Linked DNA regions of Oryctolagus cuniculus. The protein of the gene in region 1 purifies or fractionates together with the protein of each later gene. This does not show direct contact. Links are inferred from orthologs where the notes say so. Each region holds a gene or a part of one and is shown in the gene's direction. Other genes may lie near its edges.

Region 1 (3,809 bases):
TGTAGTGGCTGGGACCCAAATTCTTGATCCATCATCTACTACCTCCCAGGGTGTGCATTAGTAGGAAGCTGGAATTAGGAGCGGAGCCTGGGTTTGAACATAGGCACTCAGATAAGGGATGTGGGTGTCCCAAGTGGCTTCTTAAGTGCTGTGCCAAACGCTTGCCCCTGAAGGATTCTTCTCAGCTTACATTTGTGCCTCTGACAGAGTTTGAAACAGCTGAGACACTTCTAAATTCCGAGGTGCATATGCTTCTGGAGCATCGCAAGCAGCAGAACGAGAGTGCAGAGGATGAACAGGAACTCTCGGAGGTCTTCATGAAGACTTTGACCTACACAGCCCGTTTCAGTCGTTTCAAAAACAGAGAGACCATTGCCAGTGTCCGCAGGTGAGTGCTAAAAGAAAGTCTGTTAGTCCAACTTGTTGGACATCTACATGTGTAACATTGTTCACTCTTGCTTTTCCCAACATCATCTGTGAAGGTTTTTGTTTTTTTTTTTTTTTTTTTTTTTTTTAAGATTGATTTATTTAGGGGCCGGTGCTGTGCTGTAGCAGGTAAAGCCTCCACCTGCAGTGCTAACATCAATACTGGTGCCGGTTTCAGTTCCAGCTGCTTCACTTCCCATCCAGCTCTCTGCTAATGTGCCTGGGAAGGCAGTGGAAGATGGCCCAAATGCTTGGGCTCCTGCACCCATGTGGGAGACCCAGAAGAAGCTGCTGGCTCCTGGCTTCCAATTGGCCCAGTTCAGGATGTTGTAGCCATTTGGGGAGTGGACCAGAGGATGGAAGATTCTCTCTCTTTCTCTCTGCCTTTGCCTCTCCCTCTCTGTAACTCCACCTTTCAAATAAGATTTATTTTGTAACTAGAAAGGTGGAGTTACAGAGAGGGAGGGAGGGAGGGAGGGAGGGAGAGAGAGAGAGAGAGGTCTTCCATCTGCTGGTTGAGAGAGAGAGAGAGAGAGAGGTCTTCCATCTGCTGGTTTACTCCCCAAATGGCTGCAACGGCCAGGAATGGGCAAGATTGAAGCCAGGAGCTAGGAACTTTATCTGGGTCTCCCATATGGGTACTGGCGCCCAAACACTTGGGCCTTCTTCCGCTGCCTTCCCAGGCACATAAGCAGAGAGCTGAGTGAGAAATGGAGCAGCCAGGACTCAGAGCAGCATCTGTATGGGATGCTGGGCATTGCACGTGGTGGCTTGTGCTGCTATGCCATGACTCCAACCCCCGTGTGAATTTAATATAAGTAAAGTAACATCATTGTCAAAAAATTTTAATTGTTTATAAGGCCAAAATTATCTTGAGCCACCATCTTTTATACCTAAATCACAGTTTGATAGAATTTAAAGATTTTTAATTAAGCAGATTTACTTATTTTGTGCCTAAAACATCATAGAGATCTTTGCATGGTAATAAATGTAGATCCAGAACATTCTTTCTGGGAGACACAGTGAGGTGCTTGGGCTTAAAGGAGGCTATAGGAAAAACAGCTAGGCCAAATGCCTCCTCCACCCTGGTTTTTTTCTTATCAGAAAGCTGAAGATCATTTCTGAAACTAAATTTACCACAGATGAGCTCTATTTTAAGAGGCAGAGGTGGGGCAACTGCTGTGGCACAGCGGGTAAAGCTGCCGCTTGGGACACCTGCATCCCATATGGGCACCAGTTGGAGTCCCAGGTGCTCCACTTCGGTCCTGCTCTCTGCTAATGCTCTTGAGAAAGCAGTGGAGGATGGCCTTATTTCTTGGGTCCTTGCACCCACGTGGGAAGTTCCTGGAAGAAGTTCCTGGCTCCTGGGTTTGGATCTGCCCAGCTCCAGTGTTATGACCATTTGGGGAGTGAACCAGCAGATGGAAGATCTGTCTCTCAGTAACTCTGCCTTTCAAATAAATAAGTTTTTAAAAGAAAAAAAAAAGAGAAAAGAGGTAGAGTGATGAACATTCAAGACAGTATTTGTGCTGACAGTGTTCCAAACAGGACTTGTATGTTTACTGATTTATTTATTTACTTATTTGAAAGGCAGAGTTACAGAGAGACAGAGGCAGAGAGAGAGAGAGAGAGAGAGAGAGGTCTTCCATCCACTGGTTCACTCCCCAGATGGCTGCAATGGCCAGAGCTGGTCCAATCTGAAGCCAGGAGCCAGGAGTCTCTTCCTGGGTCTCCCATGGGGGTGCAGGGGCCCAGGGACTTGGGCCATCTTCCACTACTCTCCCAGGCCATAGCAGAGAGCTGAATCAGAAGTGGAGCAGCTGGAACTAGAATCAGTGCCTATATGGGATGCTGGCACTGCAGGTGGTGGCTTTTCCTGCTATACCACAGCACCGGCCTCTGTATGTTTAATTAAGATATGTTTCATACACCAGTATGCACAAAATAGGGTAGTCTGTATTCCTATTTAGATAAATTTTAAAGAGAATTTCCTCCCTGTCAAAATACCTATTAAATCGGGAACAGCTAACATTATGTGCTTAATGTAAAATTAAGAGGGGTGGGCGTTTGACCTATCAGTTAAGACGTTAGTTGGGATACTTGCCTTCCATATTGGAGTTCAGTCCCACTTTTTTTTTTTTTTTTTTTTTAAGATTTATTCATTTATTTGAAAGGCAGAGTTACATAGAGGCAGAGAGAGAGGTCTTCCATCTGCTGGTTCACTCTTCAAATGGTCGCAATGGCCAGAGCTGGGTTGATCAGGAGCCAGGAGCCTCCTCCAGGTCTCCCATGCAGGTGCAGAAACCCAAGGACCGGGCCATCTTCCACCACATTCCCAGGCCATAGCAGTGAGCTAAGCTAGATCCAAAGTGGAGCAGCCAGGACTCCCAACTGGCATCCATATAGGATACTGGCACTGTAGGCAGCAACCTCGCACTCTGTGCCACAGCACCAGCCCCCAGTCCCACTTTTAATTCCAGCTTCCTGCTAGTGTGCCCTCTGCAGAGCAGCAGGTCATGGCCCTAGTAGTTGATTTCTGTTACCATGTCACCACTGAGTTCCCAGCTCCCACCTTCCTTCTGGCTGTTGCATGTGAGGAGTGTACCACTGGACAGGAGTTCAATGCCTCTCTTTGTCTGGCTCTCAAATAAGTTAATTTCTTCAAAAAAATTTTTTTGAGATTGATTTATTAAAAGGGCAGAGAGGAAGAGACAGAAATTTTCCATTCACTGGTTCACCTCTCAAATGCCAACAATAGACAAGTCTGGGCCAAGCTTAACGCCAGGAGCCAGGAACCCTGGTCTCCTACCTGAGTTACAGGGACCTGAGTATTTGTACCATCTTCCACTGCCTTCCCAGGCATGTTAGCAGGAAGCTAGATCAGAAACAGAGCACCTAGGACTTAACCCAGTACTCCTTATGAGATGCCTGTGTCACAAGTGGTGGCTTAACCCACCGTGTCACAACGCTGGCCCCTCCCGATAAATAATTTTTTAAAAATTAGTAATATAAGAGTCAAAGAGGTATAGTAGAAAGAATAGTAACAAGAAAATAAATTTCTGGGCAAAAAGTGGTATCGTCTGAGGTATGAAGTAGTTTTTCACAGGTTGTGGCAGGTGCTCCTCTACCTGGTGTGTCTCCTCTCTTTCATCTCTGCCTAAGTTCACTGCAGCTTCCTGTTCTTTAGAGGCAGAAACAGGAAGTAATTTGAAAGTAGAATTCTGCAGCCCACATAACCGTAAAGAGAAGGTTGCAGATGCTTCACGTTTTCTCTTTGCTCCCCACAGTTTTTCTTGTTGATCATTCTTTGATTGGGTTGTTTTGTTTGGATTTTCCTCTCTATGACCAGCTTGCTGCTCCAGAAGAAGCTTCATAAGTTTGAG
Region 2 (4,360 bases), on another chromosome or scaffold:
CCTGACAAAGAATGTTATGATTTTATTATAAAGGAGAAAGAAATCACCATGCATAATTAGCAAAATACATTGCATGTAGTGGGGTTCTAACTCTAAATAATCACTACAGTTGTGTTCAAAACGGAATAATCTGGGAAGGCTTTGAGATGAGGTGACTTGAACCAAAAAAATTGTAATTCATTTTGGGAAGAAGGGATGACTTTCCACAAGAGGAAAACAGAAGGGGACACAATTCTGAGACTTAAAAGAAAGGCATCTTTGCCTTGAGGACATTTGTGGCTCAGGAACAAGAGACAGCCATTTCACTACTGGGGGGGGGGGGGAGTTCTCCCACTGAGGCCCAGGGGGAGCAGGAGCTTCTTCCAGGTCTCCCACGTGGGTGCAAGGGCACAAGGACTTGGGCCATCTTCCACTGCTTTCCCAGGCCATAGCAGAGAGCTGGGTTGGAAGTGGAGAAGCCGGGACTTGAACCAGTGCCCATATGGGATGCCGGCACCGTAGGTGGCGGCTTAACCCGCTATGCCACAGCGCTGGCCCCCTGACTCTAGGTCTTTACATAAGTATTTCTTACTCAGCTAGGACTTGAGTAAGTTATTGAAGCCCCGAAAGCAAGGTTTATATTGAGAATGTGTGTTTATGTTAGTTACTCTGATCACAATGGACTAGATGGGGATGGGGTGGAGGACAGAAATAGCTAGCTACATTTGAACTCCTTGAAATAGCTCTGGATTTTATCTGGAGCTTCTGACTGGCTGCAAGTTGCTTGCGTTTCTATAGTATCTTATATTGGACTGAGAAAACATCAACTGCCTGTATCAAAGAGTGAGGGGAGGGTGTTTGGAAAGTGTGGGGTAATCCAAACCCGTCAGGTCCGGGTGTCTGCTGCGAGTCTACAAGCTCCCCATTCTTTCCTTCGGGATGTAGCTCTGGTAGCTCAGCTATAGAGCGGGTAGAAGCTGACTCTGATGCCTACCACACTGCCTCCTCAACAGCCAGAAACAAAACTTTGCAACCATTTTATATGTTCGTAAATAAGTCTAAAGGGAAGAGAGGTGTCTTCAAATTGGGGTGCTGGAAAAGGGAATTGAGTTTCGAACTTAGAGCTGTCACTTAATTTGTGCCCTGGGAATATTTGCTCCCATTTTTGTGCCTCTGTTTTCCTATAGGCAAAACTGGGAATTATGAAAGGTTTTCAAAATTTGTATAGATAGCATCCTCATCACCTCTGTTGTGGATCTTTGGGAGAGAAAGAGAGAGAGAGTGAGTGTGTGTGTACATGAATGTGCCTTATCCTAACTCCTACCGCTTCTGAATACACAGGTGAATGGCTGCGGAACGTCCCAACCTGCACACACAGCGAAATCCCGCCAAACCCAGGCGCTGACGTCATCCCCCAGAACTTCCGCCCCTTCGCGCTCCCCCGGGCGCCCCCTTCTCCTGGTCCGTGTTCGTTTCCGGCGTTTCAATAAAGCTCGATTCGCCTCGAAGAAGACTTGTTCTTCCGGGAAAATGGCGACTCCCGCTCGTGCCCCGGAGTCGCCGCCAGCCGCGGATCCTGCGCCAGCGGCGGGGCCTGCTGAGGACGCCGAGTGCCCGCCGCCTCGCCAGCCTCAGCCCCCGCAGAATGTCCTTGCTGCCCCGCGGCTTCGAGCCCCAAGTTCCCGAGGACTTGGGGCAGCGGAGTTTGGTGGAGCTGCGGGAGATGTTGAAGCGCCAGGAGAGACTTTTGCGCAACGAGTAAGCTGGGGTCCCTCCGAGGCACAGCCCGACTCCTAGGGTTGGGGCTCCCGGGGACGCCCCCTGCCTTCCACCGCCCCGCTCCCTCCACTGGAAGGTGACCTTGCCTCAGTGCGATTCGTTTCGGTCCCGCGGCCTGCAGCCGCAAAGCCACGCCACGTTCCGGCCGCTGCTGCTGCAGCTCGTGGGGGTGGCTCGTGTCCCCAGCGGCTGCTTAGCGTGGAGCTAAGCTGGTCCGCCAGCCCCTCGTTGGTTTTGTTTACTCAGTTCCCATGTCGGCTTTGAAGGGAAAGCTTGTGTCCCAGATAACCCTGTTCTCCCGCCCCGGGCCTGGCGCCGAAAATCTGTTGCCAGTTTTCTCTCTCGATCCTTTCCTTACGGGAACCGGTGAGGAATGAGAAGAGTGAGATGTAAAGAACGGTTTCTCAGGCCGAGAACTTGACTCCCATTCAGCTGGCAGACGACCCGGATGGTTAGCAGGGGCGCGAAATGACAAAAGGGGTGTTTGAAGGGCAGTTTCGTGTTCAGCAGCTCGGAGCAGGATGGCTTGACGGACTAAGAGGCGGAAGACCCCAGGAGGATACTTTTAGAGAGGTTTCCTGCAAGGAGGTCGCAGGAAAGTGAACTGGGACGGCGGCCGGCCGTGGGATTGGCAAAACTTTGTCAGGCAGGGATTAAGATGGCTGAAGTTTCCCATGTGTGAGGAGAGCCACCAAGAGAAATAGAAAAAGTGAGGGGAGGGAGTAGAGGCAAGGTTGATTTGTACTTCGAGTGCATGGAGTTGAGAGGAGAGCAGGAGAGAGGGAAGGGGAGGTGGAGGGGGTTGGGGAAATTGGGGAATCTTGAATGCACTGAGTTGTTCATAGGTAGTTGAAACTGAAAGCATGAATGTAATGTCAGAGGAAAAAAAACTACTAGAGGGTCTCAGATGTAACCTCGCCCCTTATGTATTGTATGGCCGAAGAAAAGGAAATTAGAAAAGAAACTTATGTCACTTCCAAAAAAGCAGTCACTTGAGGGTCTTTGTAGTAGACAGGTGTTGCTGTGACATTGTGAGAATGGCAGTGAATTAACATTTGGGTGTGAAGATCTCCTTATACTCTTATTTAAGAGCTGGGCATGCCAAAGAGCTCTTGTTTTTCGTGAACACATGAGCACACATTCCACTTCAGAGCCAGGATGGTGTCACACATCATGTGGCTTCTGGAAAAGTTCACCCTACCCCTGTGAGAACTTGAGAGGGAGGTGGTAAATAACGCTTTAGTAGTGTTGTTGGAATAATTCTGACTCTGCAGGCCCATTCCCCCAGCAGGTTTTGGAGATTACATTTTAAAAACTATGAATTTGGGGGATATCTTGTATGATAATCACACAGGTTAAGTCTCCCCTATCTGAAATGCTTAAGACCAGAAATGTCTCAGATTTTGTTTTTTTTTTTTTTTTAAATTGTCTTTAATATTTGTATATTCATAATGGGATATTTAGGGATGAGACCCAAGTCTAAACACAGTTCATTTATGTTGCATATGCTCATAGCTTGACTTTTAGACAGGTTTTTATTGTACCTGCATTTTGACTACAATTGTCACATAAGGTCAGGCATGGATTTTCCACTTAGAACATCATGTTAGTGCTAAAAAAATTTTCAGATTAGAAGTGTTCAGCCTGTATTCTTCAAGTCCTTTTGCCAAGATTCTAAATAGAAGAGACAGATGAGGCCTATATTCTCTGTTCTTCTATCCACTTGTTTTCTAAATGTATTTGGAAAATTGTTGTATTGTTTCATTCCTGTTTGGGAGCTGGTAAAAATCAGACATTAACTTAAAAATCAGTTTGCTCCCTTGGAGGATGGTGCTTTGTCTGTTAAGTGTTACGCCTCAAGTTTAAAGCCATGGCCCTAATGTATACCTGTTCTTTTCCATTTGACAGAAAATTCATTTGCAAATTGCCCGACAAAGGTAAAAAGGTCATAGACACCGTTGCCAAACTGAAAGCTGCCATTGCAGGACGTGAAGAGGTTAGAGGGAAAAGTGAACTCTTTCATCCTGTTAGTTTAGACTGTACGCTAAGGCAAAAAGCAGATGCAGTTGATGTGGACATACATAAGGCCCAGAATTCTGACCAGATACTTGCTACGTCATCACTAGTTCCTGGCTGTTCCTCTGTAGATAACGTCAAGTCATCTCAGACAACCTCACATAAACAGGGACTTGTACATCCTCCTCACAAAGGTGAGGAAGAGACTCCAGAGGCTGAGGACCCAGCGAACAAGTGCCCAGCTTCCAGCAACAGCAGTGCCAGCGTGCTTTCCTCGGCTGAAGCCAGAGAGCATCTCCCTCAGCATAGTGTTTCAAGTCAAGTGGAGGACGTTTCCAGCAGCCTTGACAACCTGTTTATTGATAAGTTGCAAAGGATCACAATTGCAGACCAGAGTGAACATCCCTCAGAAGGATACACGAGGACTGAGAACTTGACTGAGAACGTGACGGGCTTTGGGAGCGGGACTCAGAAGAAGCCTCATTACATGGAAGTGCTAGAAATGCGAGCCAAAAACCCACTGCCCTTACCACATAAATTTAAAACCAATGTGTAAGTATCGTTGGAAACATACTAGCACAGGAAC

What was found.
Region 2: the proteins of POLR2D (region 1) and POLR2M purify together in Homo sapiens (affinity purification with mass spectrometry; 3 studies listed by BioGRID and IntAct, counting the BioPlex papers as one, with this or other methods). This does not show direct contact. The link is inferred for Oryctolagus cuniculus from reciprocal best matches to the Homo sapiens genes POLR2D and POLR2M.

What each region holds. Positions count from the first base shown.
Region 1 is NC_091434.1:121,258,871-121,262,679, forward strand, and holds part of POLR2D (DNA-directed RNA polymerase II subunit RPB4), read left to right. Parts: intron 1-207; coding exon 208-388; intron 389-3,775; coding exon 3,776-3,809. UniProt on the Homo sapiens protein: Core component of RNA polymerase II (Pol II), a DNA-dependent RNA polymerase which synthesizes mRNA precursors and many functional non-coding RNAs using the four ribonucleoside triphosphates as substrates.
Region 2 is NC_091443.1:80,571,695-80,576,054, forward strand, and holds the start of POLR2M (protein GRINL1A), read left to right. Parts: upstream 1-1,418; 5' UTR 1,419-1,624; coding exon 1,625-1,737; intron 1,738-3,666; coding exon 3,667-4,326; intron 4,327-4,360.